Linked DNA regions of Notamacropus eugenii. The protein of the gene in region 1 interacts with the protein of each later gene in a pairwise test. Links are inferred from orthologs where the notes say so. Each region holds a gene or a part of one and is shown on either strand. Other genes may lie near its edges.

What was found. The genes of interacting proteins can lie anywhere in the genome.
Region 2: the proteins of UBE2D4 (region 1) and DTX3 interact in binary tests that used the Homo sapiens proteins (3 or more experiments, as listed by UniProt). The link is inferred for Notamacropus eugenii from reciprocal best matches to the Homo sapiens genes UBE2D4 and DTX3.

The regions. Positions count from the first base shown.
Region 1 is NC_092872.1:716,917,999-716,925,229, forward strand, and holds the start of UBE2D4 (ubiquitin-conjugating enzyme E2 D4), read right to left. Parts: upstream 3,042-7,231; 5' UTR 2,890-3,041; coding exon 2,866-2,889; intron 1-2,865. UniProt on the Homo sapiens protein: Accepts ubiquitin from the E1 complex and catalyzes its covalent attachment to other proteins. In vitro able to promote polyubiquitination using all 7 ubiquitin Lys residues, but may prefer 'Lys-11' and 'Lys-48'-linked polyubiquitination.
Region 2 is NC_092874.1:232,973,678-232,981,358, forward strand, and holds the start of DTX3 (probable E3 ubiquitin-protein ligase DTX3), read left to right. Parts: upstream 1-4,649; 5' UTR 4,650-5,133; intron 5,134-6,014; 5' UTR 6,015-6,069; intron 6,070-6,517; 5' UTR 6,518-6,579; coding exon 6,580-6,592; intron 6,593-7,400; coding exon 7,401-7,681. Other genes in the region: PIP4K2C (phosphatidylinositol 5-phosphate 4-kinase type-2 gamma), read left to right, coding at 41-144, 404-484. UniProt on the Homo sapiens protein: Regulator of Notch signaling, a signaling pathway involved in cell-cell communications that regulates a broad spectrum of cell-fate determinations.

The sequences.
Region 1 (7,231 bases):
GTATTACTATACATAACTATTTTATGCACAAGTTACGCTGAGAAAAGTTACTCTGGATAATTATGACATGAACATAATCTGTAACAAAACATCTGCTTTTATGCTACAGAATTGGGACAAATCTACGAATGTTTTTTGTATTTATATTCTCAGGCACAAGCACGCACACATACACACACAGAGGTACATATGTATGTACCTGAACACATATGCCTGGTACAGTAGAAAGTGCATCAAGTTTGAAGTCAGAGGACCTGCATGGAAATCTTGTCTTTGTTATTTCTGTGTGACTTTGTACAAATCACTTCACCTCCCTTGCCTCATCTGTAAGATAAGAGGGTTTGCCTCAATGACCAAAGACCAACAATCCTTATCATCAAAGAACTGACATTCACAAGTGGGACATGGCACAACAAGGATATCAGTAAGTAAATACACAGAATATACAAAGACACAGATATGCATTAAGTGCATGAACGCACACGTACAGAAATATGGATATCTAGGGACGAAGTAGAAGCAGTATGCTGATATAACCCACTGGAATAGATGATCACCATGCAAACAAAGGTAACCCAGAAGAAAGTTGGATTGCACACCCAGTCTGAGATGGAACCAAGACAAATTCATCAAGGTTAGCTTAATAAGCAAGCCTTAGGAAGAAATGAGGGCACAAAATTATTTGAGCTGTATAGGTAAAACAGGTACAGTCAAAAGGTTATCTATCAAAAGCATCCCAAAGAAACTATGAGGAATTGCACAGGAAGTGAATGGGTAAGGAAGTCCAAATGGAATTTGGTAACAAGGAGGAAAACAAAGATATGTTCTAAGAGAAATCAAGAAATCAAGAAAGAAGAGCCCATGAAAAAAGAACTGGAGGGTTGTGGCCCTAGTCAAGCTACTTAACCTCTCTGGTAAAACAAGGAGGTTCTACTAGAAGACTTCTTAGGGTCCCTTCCAAAGCCCTAAGTAATTTTATGATCCTAACTCCAAGATGGAGGCAATCTCTACTCTGCACAGTATGGCAGAGGGCCAAACTAATGGGTACCAAAAAGCCTTAATCCCAAAAGAACTTAACAAGACTGAAGCAGAAGAATTAGAAAGGCAGAGAGGTGTCATAAAGAAAGGACTGGCCTCTGAGTCCTGCCTCTGAAAGTGTGTGTGTGTGCGTATGTGTGTGTGTACATGTGTGTGTAAGAGACAGAGTATGGGTTAGGGCCCTTCACCTTACAGTGGTTTCCGAGATCTGCATTTCCTTACAGGAAGTTTCCTACACACCAATAAAATCACAGTTCTGGACCACAATAAGAAGTGGCAACCATTCTGGAACTGGCCAACATGCAAGTCTGCAGCGATCACAAACAGCCTATGGGAACAAGCAGAATGCATCCTACAAAGAAATGGCCCTGGATTTGAAATCTGCCCACTGCATGACCTGGACAAGTCATTTTTCATTTCTTGGCCCTTGTTTTCTTCATCAGAATTATGAAGGTGAACTATTTAATTCACCAAACATTTATTAAGTGCCCAGTGCAAGCCAGGTATTGGGGGAGGGGGACAACTGGAACCCTGACAAATAAATGCATAATATTAGTATGTCCCAAAAGTCTTAGTGTGGTTTTAAGTTTTAATAGTTTGGAAGAGCCTACATACCAAGTTTTGGCAGGGAGTTGAAGAACAGCGAGCATTAAATGATCTCTAGGATAACCACCCCGTCAGTCAACAAACCTTTATTAAGTACTTCAATAACGTGCCCTGGCACACAAAGCATAAAAGAGAAACTAAAAGTAGCTCATCACAGTCTAAATGGGGAGACAAACAGGCAAACAACTGTGCTTAGGTATACTAGGTGGACACACAAGACAGACACTGTGTAAATGGGAAGTAATCTCAGGCCAGTTCTAAATGCTCCCAATGGTCCTAGAAGACTGATGAACTATTTACCAGGAGCTGTTAGAGCTACAGTCGGGACAGCAGGGAAACTTCAGCCCTTAATGGAGGTAAAAAGGTGAAAGTCAGTTTTGGGCATGTGGAGGAAACAGAATTCAAAGGGCAGAAATTAGTCTAAGTAACTTTTCAGGCACAGTGGGTGGTGGGAAGGCCAGCAGATTTCAGGAAGGAACTGGGCTCAGGTCTATCCATGATGGACCCTGGACTTGAACCAGATAACCTCCAAGGTCCTTCCTTCCCAGCTCAAATCTATGCTCCCAAGATGCAGAGGGGCGATCACTTAACTTCTGAGCCTCAGTTTCCCCACCTGAATTAAGCTCTCAGGTCCTTTCCAGCTCTAAATCTACCCTGTTTCTTCATCTTTAAAATGGGTTGAATCTAATTATCAGGCTGCTAAGGTCCTTTCCAGCTCCGCATCTATAACCATAAAGGAAGGGGGAGAGGTGACAGGCATTAATTAAGCACCTACTGTGTGCCTGGCACTGGGGCGGGGAGCCTGGGGGTGGACGACTGCTAGTTTTCTTGGGCTATTAGGGGGCAGAGGGGGCGGCGCAAGAACAGGAGAAAAAGTGAGAATGGGACACGCCCCTCACGCCAACAGCCGGCCAGCAGAAAGGGAAACACACAAAGGAGCACGTGGTTGGCCGGCGGCGCCTCTAGCTCCGCCCAGGCCCCGCCCCGCCCACCCCGAGACCCCGCGCCCCGGCGTGGCCCCGCCCCCGCCCCGTGCTGTTCCCTTGTAAGGCAGTGGGCGCACGAGGCGCCGCCTCACTCCCTGGCAGGTGCCACAAGTTTTCCCGCGCCTGCGCGCGGCGCCGCCTCCTGCCGTGGCTCTCTGTGTAGCGGTGGAGCCGACGCCTGCGGCTCCTCCGTCTCCGGACTCTCGCCAAGGATGAGGGGAAGCGGGAGGCTTACCTTCTGGATCCGCTTCAACGCCATCCTACGACCCGCTGCAGGACCACGACTCAGCCCCGGGGCCGAGGGACGGCCACGGGAGGCAGCACAGCTAGGCTCGGCCGCCTCGCAGCTCTCTGCAAGGGGAGGAGCTCGGCTGGTGGCGCGTGCGCAGCGCGGGCCGGCCGCGGGGCACTGTGGGAGTTGTAGTTCTTTTTAGTCAGGCTTGGGATTGGGGTACCGAGCAAAAGCCTTTTTACGAAGTGATCTCCCTAGAGGAGGGAGACCCTGGGCTGGTGCTCTTCTGCCCCTCCCTTGATGGCCAGGCCTCTCTCTGCCAAACACTTTTCATACACTTGGGCAGATCACTTCTCAGAGCCTCAGTTTCCTCATCTGTTGAATGAGGAGCCAGACTGGTGGAGATGACCTCTGGGAACCCTTCCAGCTTCAAATCTTAGGGGAGGATGAGTGGCTGGCCAGCGTCCGGGACTGACCGCCGGCTGTTTGCATCCCTTCCTCTCCAAGTAGAGGGAGCTCCCTCAGTCATTCAAAAGGCATTTATTAAGTGCCAGCTTAGCCAGGGGTGCTAAGCTCTGGGGGTACAAAGAAAGTAAATGAAACAGTCCTAGCGCTGAAAGTCTAACAAGGGAAGCAACAGGCAAACAGCCATTTCTGTAAGAATACCTAGGGAGCAAAGGAATTGGAGTCAAGGAGATCAGGGTTTTGTCCTCCCTCAGACATCTGACTAGCTGGGTGACGCTAGATGCGTCACTTAACCTCCGAGTGTTTCCTTTTCCCCACCTATAAAAATGGGGAGATTACAGAATCTATCATCCATTGCTGTTGTGAAGATAAAATGAGACAATATTTGTAAAGCATTGCAAATCTTTAAGTGTTATTTAAATAATAGTTGTTATTATTACATGGAAAATAGTCATCTGAGGGGGAGAGGCACTAGTAGGAGGGGAGATTGGGAAAGGATCGAAGAAGATGGGATTTTGAGTCTTGATAGGAGGGGGACGGGGCATTCCTGTATAGGGGACACTGAAAAAGGCTTTGCTTAGAGTGAACTAGAAGGCTGGTGTCAATTGTACAGTACCCCACCCCAGAGGAGCAAAGTACAAGAAGATGGGAAAGGTAGAAAGGACCCAGTTTGTGAAATTAAATGCTGAACTGAAGAAAAGGAAGATGAAGATGCTGGAGAGAATGAACTGGGATAGAGGGGTAGACTGGAATGGAAAAAGAGGGAAAGGTGGTGAAAGTGGACTGGGAAGGTATATAAAGAGGATAAGGAAGCTGGGGCTGGTCAATGTGGGATCCACAGAGATGTGGGGCTAGAAGAGAGATACTGGATGCAGTCACCTCTTGGGTTTCTGCTGCTTCTCCAGGGCCCAGCAAGGGCTGTGGAATTCAAAGAAGTAGGCTGTCTCCCTGCCCCAAACCATCCTTCCCTTCCTCACTTTTGAGTGAATAGAGTGGGAGACTTGCCAGGAAGACCTACACTAAATCTTGCCTCAGATACTTACCAGCTGGGTGATCTCAGGTAAATCACTTAACCTGCCTGTGCCTCAGTTTCCTCATCTGTCAAATGAGGGGGTTGAAATTACTAGGTGCCAAGTACTATGCTAAACACTGGGGATAGAAATACAAGCAAAAAGGCAGACCCTGCCCTCAAGTACCTTACATTCCAAGGGGGAAAGAGCCCATAAAAGGGAAATGAAAGGGGAGGGTCCCCAAGTTGGGGATTCCCCTTCATGTACCTACATTTCAACTACATGGGTCTACTTGCTGTTTCCACAATTTACCATTCTACATCCCATCTCTGTGGAAGGAGAGCATTCCAGGTATGGGGAATAAGCTGTTCAAAGAAACAGATCAAATACAGATTAAAACTCTGAATTACATCCTATGTTCCTGTCCCTCTCTAAAACCTAGGACAGAGCCCCGTGCTTAACACAGTGCTTTGCACACTATAAAACTCAATAAGTGCTTGCTGTTTGAATAAATGTCTATTGATCAAAGTAGAGGGGAGCTAAGACAGAAATGCTAAAGGATTAGAACTGGGGTAAAGAGAAAGACTAGGGCAGGATTGATAGAAATAGTGCTCAAAGTGTACTGAAGGCCCACTACTTCCCAAGTTAAAAGCAGGGAGCAGAGTCTATCTGTGATCACAGGTGGAATCCCACACTGTTCTTAGTTTCTTATTTGTTCATTAGTCTAGTTCTCTTAGACTTTAAAAGGGAGAGTCATTTGAAAAACGTAATATCCACTTAACAGTACCCACATTTTCAGGTGAGCCATCATATCCTTGCTACCTGATCTTAAAGGATAGTAACCATGAGCCAAGGCTTCTTGCCCAACCTTTAATTTAATAAATATTGTTGTTGTAATCCTGTTTGCCTCAGTTTCCTCATCTGTAAAATGAGCTAGACGAGGAAATGACAAACCACTCCAGGATCTCTACCAAGAAAACCCCAAATGGGATCATGAAGAGTCTGACATGACTGAAAACAACTGAGCAACAGTATCTGAGTTTAATTTGTTTCTACACCAAATTATAAATGTTAAGTAGATACATTAAACCACCTTTGCCCAGTAAAGATGATAAGCCCACTCCCCCATCCCTTCCTCCATTTTTGTGTGCCCTTCTCCTATGCCCCAGTTATGTGAAAGAGTGAATTTCTTCCTCATTTCTTTCTTGTATTTTTTTTCCCCACCCTTTTCTTTTCCTCTCTTAAAACTAACAAAACCGCACCTAGTTTCTATGTTGGTGGTTCTTAATTCCCATGTTGACCATTGAAAGTTAGTAGGACGCGTCTGTTCTCACACAATTAGAATGTAAGGATTTCATCATCATTTTGCTCCCTCTAATTACTTCTCAATTTCCAATCCCATTTCAAAGTTTATACTCAACCATGGTATTTTCAACAAGAATGCTTGAAAGTTTTCTGTTCTGTTCAAGATCCATTTTTCCCTGTTAAGATTATGCAGGAAAAAAAAAATGTTGCAGTTTTGAAGGGCAGGTTATTCATGGTTGTTTGTGTTTGTCCTTCTTGCCAAAAAAGACCATGCCTTCAGAGAAATGATGACATGACTAGCATGTGACTTTGTTTTGAGTGAGGGAGGGCTATGCCAGGTCACCAGCCTCACTTCTCCTCCAGAGCCATCTGAATCCAGTGACCAGATATTCATCAGGATGACTGGAGATGACCCGGGATACACTGGGAGACCTTGGGCCGTTTAGGCCAAAGTCTTTGCAGGTACTCACTTATGGTGAGGCAACACCCATTCATTGAATAGGCCTGTTTAAGAAGTAGCCAGGGCCTGGTCCCTTTAATGAGACCTCGAGAAAGAAAGACATCAGAGGGAGAGGGAAACAGCAACAGTTACTACTGATAATCACTCTAAAGCCTGGAGGGTCCAGAAGAGCCCTTAGGCAAGGGCCCATTGGTGTCTCAGCTTCAGAGTGCAGTAGGTTTAAGGTTTTGAGAAAGAAGGGAAGGGAAGGAAACTAGCCAGTAAAACCCAAACCAACTGGGCATCTTTTGGCTATCCAAATTTACCTTCCTTTGGAGAGAAGGGAGGGGAGGGTGAGGTAGATTACTTTGCAGGTGTCCAGGACACTCTATAGAGTGGTTCCAGGAGTCAGTTGCTTTTCCTCCTTTCTCGAAGAAGACCACTGACATCTGGAGAGTGATTTGCTGTGTGAATTGGATTTAAGTGAGACAGAGCTGCATAAGTCATCAGCCTCACTCTCTACTTCAGAGTATTCAAAATCCAGTGGCAGCACAGAAGTCAAGACAGCTGGCGATAGATGACTTCAGCCTTTCTAAATGAAGATTTTTCCCAGGCCCCGGTATGTTCAAGGCAACATCCAGAGAAGCAATAGCTATATCGTAGGACAAGGAGAATGGACTGGTGATGAATGAACCCTTCCCTCCCTCAGTCCCCATCTATTGTGAGTACAAGACCAAGTACTACTTGGTGTAAAGGCTTTGGGGTTGTCCGTGTCTCAGTGAAAACAGCGAGAGGCAGCAAGCAAGGGTGTGAAAAATTCAGGCTAACCTAAGCTGCTGTGGCTTCCTCAAGTTACCATGGGTTTTTAGCCCAGAACTTTCACATTTTAAGTTCTTTTTTTTACTAAATACACTTTATACCTGAATAAGTAAATCTTCCCAGATCATGTGAAATTGAGGAAGGAAATGGGCAACCAAATGAATTTATTAATTTTGATGGTACTCTAGATAAGGGCCGAGGAGAGGAAACCGGGTGGGCTGTGATCTGAGACTACTCAGTAGTTTCCTAAGAGCCTCTTGTAGACATAGTGGAAATGATCTTAAGTCAGCAAGCTTTTAGCGCCTTCTGGTGGCTTGAACAGATAATAGTA
Region 2 (7,681 bases), on another chromosome or scaffold:
GTTTATACTTTGTCTTTCACCATGTGTCCTCATCTCTCAGGGGCCCCCCAGAAGGAAGTATATTTCATGGGCCTCATTGACATCCTGACCCAGTATGATGCCAAGAAGAAGGCGGCTCATGCAGCAAAGACTGTCAAGCATGGCGTGAGTGTTCCCCATAGGCTCATGTGCTCTACTGGCTCCTATCCCCACATTAGGGCTCAGAAACAATTGTTAGGGGGAGAGCTTCAGCTCTCTTTGGGAATCTTTTGTAATGACCAGGGGTTGGGGAGAGGGATTAAAGAAATGAATGTGGAAATCAGAGGAAGGATTTGGGGTGAAGGAGCAATCCACCCCTAGATCCACCCTCAATCCTGTCTTTGTTTTTCAGTTCTCTTTGTTTCTCAATTCTCTCTTTCCACAGGCTGGGGCAGAGATCTCTACTGTTCATCCTGATCAATATGCCAAGCGGTTCCTAGATTTCATCACCAACATCTTTGCCTAGGAGACTAACTGGCACTCCATGATATCTCCTTAGATTGGGTGGGGGAGGAAAGAGTGACAGGGCTATAGGGGGAAGACTGAAGGAGTTACAGGTGTCCTCTTCCTTAGCTAAGTCCAGGTTGCCTCTCCCCGCTCCCAGAGTGATGTCCTCCCTGCTTCTTGTCCTACCCACACCAGCCCCAGAGTCAGCTTCATTAGGGTTTTACTGAGGATTTTTTTTTCACTCCCAAGTGCCTTGATCTTTGTAAAATGTCGTTTTATTTTTGTAAAATAGGAGGAGCTGAATTGGTTGGGGGGAGGGGTATCTTCTGACCCTGGCAGGACCAATGACTGGTTCCGGATGTTGCTCTGGCCTGGAAAGCTTGAGCCTAAGCATGGCTTGAACTTTGCTGTTTAACTTTATTGGAGGCATAGAGGCTCACTCTTCACTCTTCCAACATTCCCTCATGTACCTGGGGCAGATGGGGATGCAGCAGTGTGCATAAAGTGGTGTAGCCAGTCTTGCTCATTGAAGTGGAGGGGTGTGTGGAAGATGCAGCCAGCAGGTTGGCTTCTCACTGGGTTGGGGACTTGAGGGATTACTTGGCTTTGTCAGGGACTTTGAATGGTTTCCTAGCCCCAGTGTCCTGAGAACCTAAGTCTTTTAGCATTCTCTCTGTCTAGGCCCGAGTTGGGGTTGGTGTTTGGTTGCTGCTGCTGGATACCAGAGCCTCTGTCCCTACCTGGGACTGGGACCATTTCTTTAGGCATTTAGGTGGCTAGTCTGGGAGACTGGGGTAAAGAAAGATTCTGGAGCTAAAAGCTCACTATATTTAATATTACTTTCTTTTTGTCTACTTACTTTTGGGTATTGTTCCAGGGACAGGGGAATTCCTCAACCTGGACCAAACCTGGTTATTTTTGGGGTGAATTGAACTCAGCACCATTCCTTCTTCCTCTCTCCCTTCAGCTTTGTCATCAGCCTGCCCCCTTTCAACTTGCCTTGTGCTGTTGTTATATCTCCCAGAAATAGGTGACATTGTCCTCCTTATTCCCTACCTCCTGAGAGGAATCAGCCATAACTGTCCCTCCCTGAATTATATAGGAGTAGTATATCTAACTGGGGGTTGAGGGGCATGAGCATAGGGGAAAGGGCTATAGACTCACTTTGGAGTTGAGACAATCACTCCTTCCCAGGTTTCTCCAGTATTGTCCAAGGTTATGGGTCAGTGCAGTACTCCCTGTGTGGCTGGACTGTTCTGTCAATAAGAGATAGCCCTGTGAATGTTTTCTCCCACCTACTCCCTTGCTCCCACTTTTATTCTTCAGGAGGAGGAAACTGAAGTTGTGTGTGTGTGTGTGTGTGTGTGTGTGTATGTGTGTGTGTGTGTTATGGCTACCTGATTTGTGTGTGTGTGTGGTATGTGTGACATCTAATATGTGCCTCCCTCTTATCCCTCCTCTAGGGGCCTGGTTGAATTTACTCCTTCCCCCTATCTTTCCCCTGTCTAAATGCAATAAAATTTAGGACACCTGCAACTGCCTTTCTCTAGAAATTGGTTTTCTGACCATGTAGCTGATGCATCAGGGGCAGTATGGGTGTCTTCATTTGTTGCAATTTTTTTTTTAAAGAAAAGAAAAAATAATAATCTTGCATATTCCCATTGCTGTCTCAACATAGAAGTAAATTATTAAACCTGAACTGGTCCCTCTTTGTGCTTTGTGTATTTTTGAGATTCACTGTGGCATGGGAGTACTAGACATGGAGTAAATAGACACTGCCTGGATGGGAATCCCATATTACAAATTTAGTAGTGTATATTTTTAGCCAAATAACTTAATCTCTCTAATCTTCCTTATCTGTGAAATGGGTATAATGCCTTTAATCCTTCACAAGGTTGTCAAAGGGATCAAATGAGACTAAAGTGCTTTGGAAACCCTAAAATACTATAAAAAAGCTGTTATTGAGTGTTGGGGTTCAGAATAAGGAAGAACGGGGAGCTGAAAAGTCTAGCAGCAAAACTGTGGTGCCCTAAACCTGGAGACTATGTTTTGAGGATGAGTGATGATGATCCTTAAAGGAAAATGGAATATTTGGGGAAGGGGAGAGGAGAAGAAAAAGTCTTGGGTTGCCTGAGGTTTTTGTTTTTTGCCTTAGGAATATAATAGATTATATTTGAAGAGGAAAAGAGAAGTATCTCTCAACTATGAGAACTTTGAAGTGCCAGATATTGAACTTGGAGGTTAACCTCCTCTGGGATCTTGATTTCTTGGAACACATAGCCCTTCAATAAAATGCATGTGTCCTTTCAGCAGAGAAGCTGAGTAGGAAGCAAGCTTCTTGGGAAGAAATCTTCTGACTGCAAGGGAGAGAGTGGGTGAGGGGAAGGGATACAGCTGGGTCCTGGGAAAGCATGCTGGAGAAAAATCAGTCATCTAGTCCCAGGGGTGGGAAGAATGAATTGATAGTGCTCTCCCAACAGTCCCCTGGGATTTCCAAAAGCCTCCTTATTAAATTCCTCTTTGGCTGCTGGGAAAGAAAAAAAACAGTTAAAAAAAAAAAAAGACTTGTAGATGAGGCCCTAGGGTGAACAAAAGGGTACAAGGTTTTAATCTGGAATGCAGCACAGATTTGGATTAGGCTGGGTATTTTGGGAGGAGTATTAGAAGGGCTGAGCAGCAAATGAACTTTGAATCCCCTTTTTCAGGGCACCTTGATAACATTCTACTTCCTCATTTTCCCTTTCTGTTAATGTGTGGGCTAAAGAATTTGTAAATTCAAAGTTGGGCTCTGACTTTGGCATTTGGAGATGGGTGAGGATTATTGTTGGAGGGGACTTCAATTTGAGAGCAATACAGGGTTATTTTAAGAGTCATGGTATAATTAGGAAAGTGTTGACCTCAGCACCTGGAGAACTGGACTTGAATTCCCCAGGTAGATGTTTACTAACTGAGTGGCCGTGAAAAAGACTCTTCCTTGAGTAGGACCAGGAGAACACTAACATAAAGACTTAAGAATTCTGATGTTGAGAGACTCAGGAATTCTGATCAAAACCATGACCCACCATGATTACAGAGAATTGTAGATGAAATCTGCTACCCATTTCCTAGCAGAGAGGACTCAGAATGCAAATTAAGGCAATGGTTTTGACCATGTCTAATATGAGAATTTGTTTTGCTGGATTATATATGTTTTTAACAGGTTTTTTTTTTTCTTGCTTCTCAGTGGGGAGGGGGAAAGAAGTGGAAGAGGTCAGATCTCTTGGAAAAAAGTAAAATTTTTGTTTTTTGAAAAATAAAATACTAAAAATAGAAAAGTTGCTGAAATTGAAAATTCTGTTCCTTAGGCTTTTCCATTGTAAAAGAGGAATAATAATTTACCATCTACCTTGAATAATGGATATGAGCGAAGCTCTTTATAAGACTTCCAAATGCTATAGAAATGGGGTTGAGGGGTGTATTATTCTCTTAATCTATTCCACCTTTCTGCCTGCGTTCCTGTCTGGCCTGAACGCTAAAATGGGTAAATGATAAAGAGTGTCTTCCCTTCACCCAACTTCAGGATCTTAGACTCAAAAAGTTGAAAGGGACCAGCCATCTAGTCCAGTCCATTCATTTTGCCCATAAAGAACGGAGCCTCAGATAAGTCAGATGGCTTATCCTAGGTCACACGGAGAACAGGGGCGTATTTTTAATATCCATTATTCCTTCATTTCAATTTTCTGTGGCTCCATCTGCAATGAACATCCTAAAAGTGGGTAAATGGTCGAAAGGGGGCTCCTTCCACCCAATCTCATAAATCTAGGACAGAGAGCCGACGGGCATCTTCGAGATCATCTCCCTGTCAAGACCCGGGGCAGAGAAGTCAGTGACTCGCCCTGGGCCACACAGCTCAGAGGGGTCTCGGGTGGCCCTTGAACTCAGGTCATCCAATTTCCAGGTCGATTCGCTCGACCAACCCGACTCCCACAAAGCCGAGGTTGCCCGGGCTCCGTCCACCCCCACCGGCAGCCGCGCAGTGGACTGGGAAAGCAAAAAGGTGAGAAAGGTGGAAGGCGGTGCTGGGGAGGGGCACAGGTGAAGGAGGGCGGGGGGGCTTCTTCCCCGGGCTCCCAGGCTGGCTCGCCTCTCCCTCCCTCACCGCCTCCCCCAGCCCTGCCCTCGCTCCCTCCCAGCCTCCCTCCCTCGCTCCCTCCCTCCCTCACCCCTCCCCGCCCTGCCCTCGCTCCCTCCCTCCCTCGCTCCCTCCCTCCCTCACCCCTCCCCGCCCTGCCCTCGCTCCCTCCCTCCCTCGCTCCCTCCCTCCCTCACCCCTCCCCGCCCTGCCCTCGCTCCCTCCCTCCCTCACCCCTCCCTGCCCTGCCCTCGCTCCCTCCCTCCCTCTCTCCCCGCCCCCAGGAGCGTCCTCACGGAAGGAGGGCTGGGGAGGCGCAGGAAGGACGCTCCGGGATTGGAGGTGGAGCCCGAGAGGCGGCAACTGTCGCCTCCGATCTGGAGGAGGGGGCCGCTGCTGTGGGCCCCGCCTCCCCTCCTTTAGGTCCCCCCTCCCCGGTCCCCCTCCCCATCTTCATCCCTCTCCCTCCTCTCCCCCCCACCCCGTTGCTAAGGTCCGGACCGTCATCCCAGCAACAGCCTCAGTCATGTGACCGGCGATGGCGGCGCTGACGGGAGGTAGGTGAGCCCGGCGGCCCCCCCTCCCCCCAGCGCCCCCCGGACGCGGGCTCGCGCCCCTCGGACCCGACTCCCCGGAGCGCGGGGACCCTCGCCTTTCCCCACCCGCGGCGGCCGCTTCCCAGCCGGGCGTCTTCCCCTGGGCTGCGGGGTCGGGGGGATGGATGCTGGGGAGGGTGCTGCGGGGCCTCGGCGGGGCCTGCCAGCTGCGGGGCCGGGGAGGGGGCCCGGGCGTGTGCGCGCGGGGTCTGTGTGTATCCGTGTGTGCGCCGGGGCAGTCAGGGCCCGGTGTGGCGCGGGGTGAGGGCTTCGGGAAAGGGGCGATGGGGACTCGGGGATCCGGGCCCACTCCAGCAGCTTCGCTGGCCCCGCCCCAATCTGGGGGGTGGGACCGGCCCGGTAGGTCACGGACCGCCGGGCCCTTCCCTCCCCCCGACATTTCCTTAGCCAAACCAGTGTCCGGGGTTGCCCTCCGCTGTCACAGGGCTCCCAGCCTGGAGCCACCCTGCCCCAGGGTTTGGGCTAAGAGCCCTTAGGGGTAGACAGCCTCGGGGTTGGGAGGGGGATGGGAAGTGGAGGGGGGGGTGGATAGGATGGAGACACAGGCAAGGGCAGCCTTTTCTCCCAACAGAGAGGGTCAATGTTTGATTTAGCCAGAATTTAAACTTGACCCCTAGTTCAGTCCCGAGGTTCTCCTCCTAGCTGGATGAGAGATGGAGACCTGAGGAAGTACACCTGTGAGCACGAAGGGCATGCCCCAGTTTCTAGGAACTAGACCCATGTATGAATATTCCCCATCCATGATAGCCTATGCTGATGGACAGATGAGATACCTGGTCTTAAACTAGTAAGAGTGAACTATGGATATTTTTTTGTTATAGAGTCTGCTACCACTTTGTCCACATCTTCAACAGCCAGCAAGCAGGAGTGATTAAGGTTAGACCTTAGGGAGGATTTGCAGGCCTTGAGGGTATACAATTTGGGAATCAGGAGGAATTGTGAGAGCAGTGGAAGTGCAAGAACACAGAGGAAATTCCTACCTGTTTGAACTGAGGGCAAGGGGGCAGGATAATGGTTAAGACAATTGACAGATCAGTTTTTGAGACTTTTCCAATATCAGTTATTCCTCTTTTCTCGTATCTTTTCACTGAAGGAAAAAGGCCCCTGAAGTAAGGTCATAGTGTTAGGGATGAAAAGAGGTTTGAAGCTGGAGTATTGAAGTTTCAGTCTCCACAAAGCTTCTTTTGGAAAGGGGATGGAATACCAAGGGTGGGGGAAGAGAAAGGGAGATGCCGGGTGCAATTGGCTGGTGTCAAGGAGGGAGGAGAAAGGGAGGGACAGGTAAGGAAACAATTTCTATTATAACCCTATTGCCCTCACCCAGTGTTGGGGTCAAAGTCCAGCTGAGTGTGGAAACTTCCGGGATTCCTCCTGCCACCATCGTCCATGGGCTCTCCAGGTACCAGTCCTCCAAGTAATTTGATGCCTACCCATCCCTCACTGTTCCTACCCCAGGGATCTTGTTTTCAGTGCTTCAGTAACTTTGACTCTAGAAATCCCAATTCTTCCACTCCCAGGGCTGCTCAAGTACATAGGGTCTCTGAGTTAGGATGTATCCAGGAAGGTTCCCTTATTTTCTCCCCAACTCTGGACAGAGAGACTCACCACCACCACCATTAGATCAGATATTTCTAGCCCATAAGTAGGGACATAGAGAGAGAAAAGGAAAGCCAATTCTGGATATGCCAGGCTGGGAAGCCTCCCTGCCAGGGTACATGACTTTACCCTGGACAGGGAAAAAGGTAATCAGTGTAACTATAGGGGAAAGTGGGATCAATTCATATGTTTGGTTTAAATGGTAATAAATCAATTGAATCTCCCATTCTGAAAGAAGACCCTATAAGACTGCTGGGAGTTGTGGGAGGGGGGACCAGGAAGAGATACTATGCCTTGGGTTTGGGATTGAATGAAAATGAGAAGGCCATTGTACCTTGAAGCAACTTTCCTTACATTGCAATATAATCTTTCATCTTGAGGAATTACCCTAGTCTTTACTGGGAGAACTTTGGTTAGAATGCAGTAGAATGGAAGGGATGCTGAACTTTGGAGATTAAAATAAAATGGGTACTTCTTTGGTGAGAGGTGGTATTGGGTTGGGCTTTGGAATGGGGCTAATGCTAATCTCACGTAGGTAGTGGGAACTGAGAGTAGAGGCACTGGTATTTGGCAAATAGACCCTATCCTGAAGCCCTTTCATTCTGGGGCAGTGTCGTTCGTCCTGTCCAGGATGGCGGCCTGTGGGGGCAGCTGCAAGAACAAGGTGACGGTCTCAAAGCCAGTGTGGGACTTCCTGAGCAAGGAAACACCAGGGCGACTGGCCCGGCTTCGGGATGAACACCGAATATCCATCCTCATCGATGGAGAGACGTCGGACATCTATGTTCTCCAGCTTGCTCCCCAGGGCCCCCACCCAGCCCCTCCCAATAGCCTCTACCTTGCTAGAAAGGCTCTCAAGGGGCTGCTGAAGGAGGCAGAGAAGGAGCTGAAG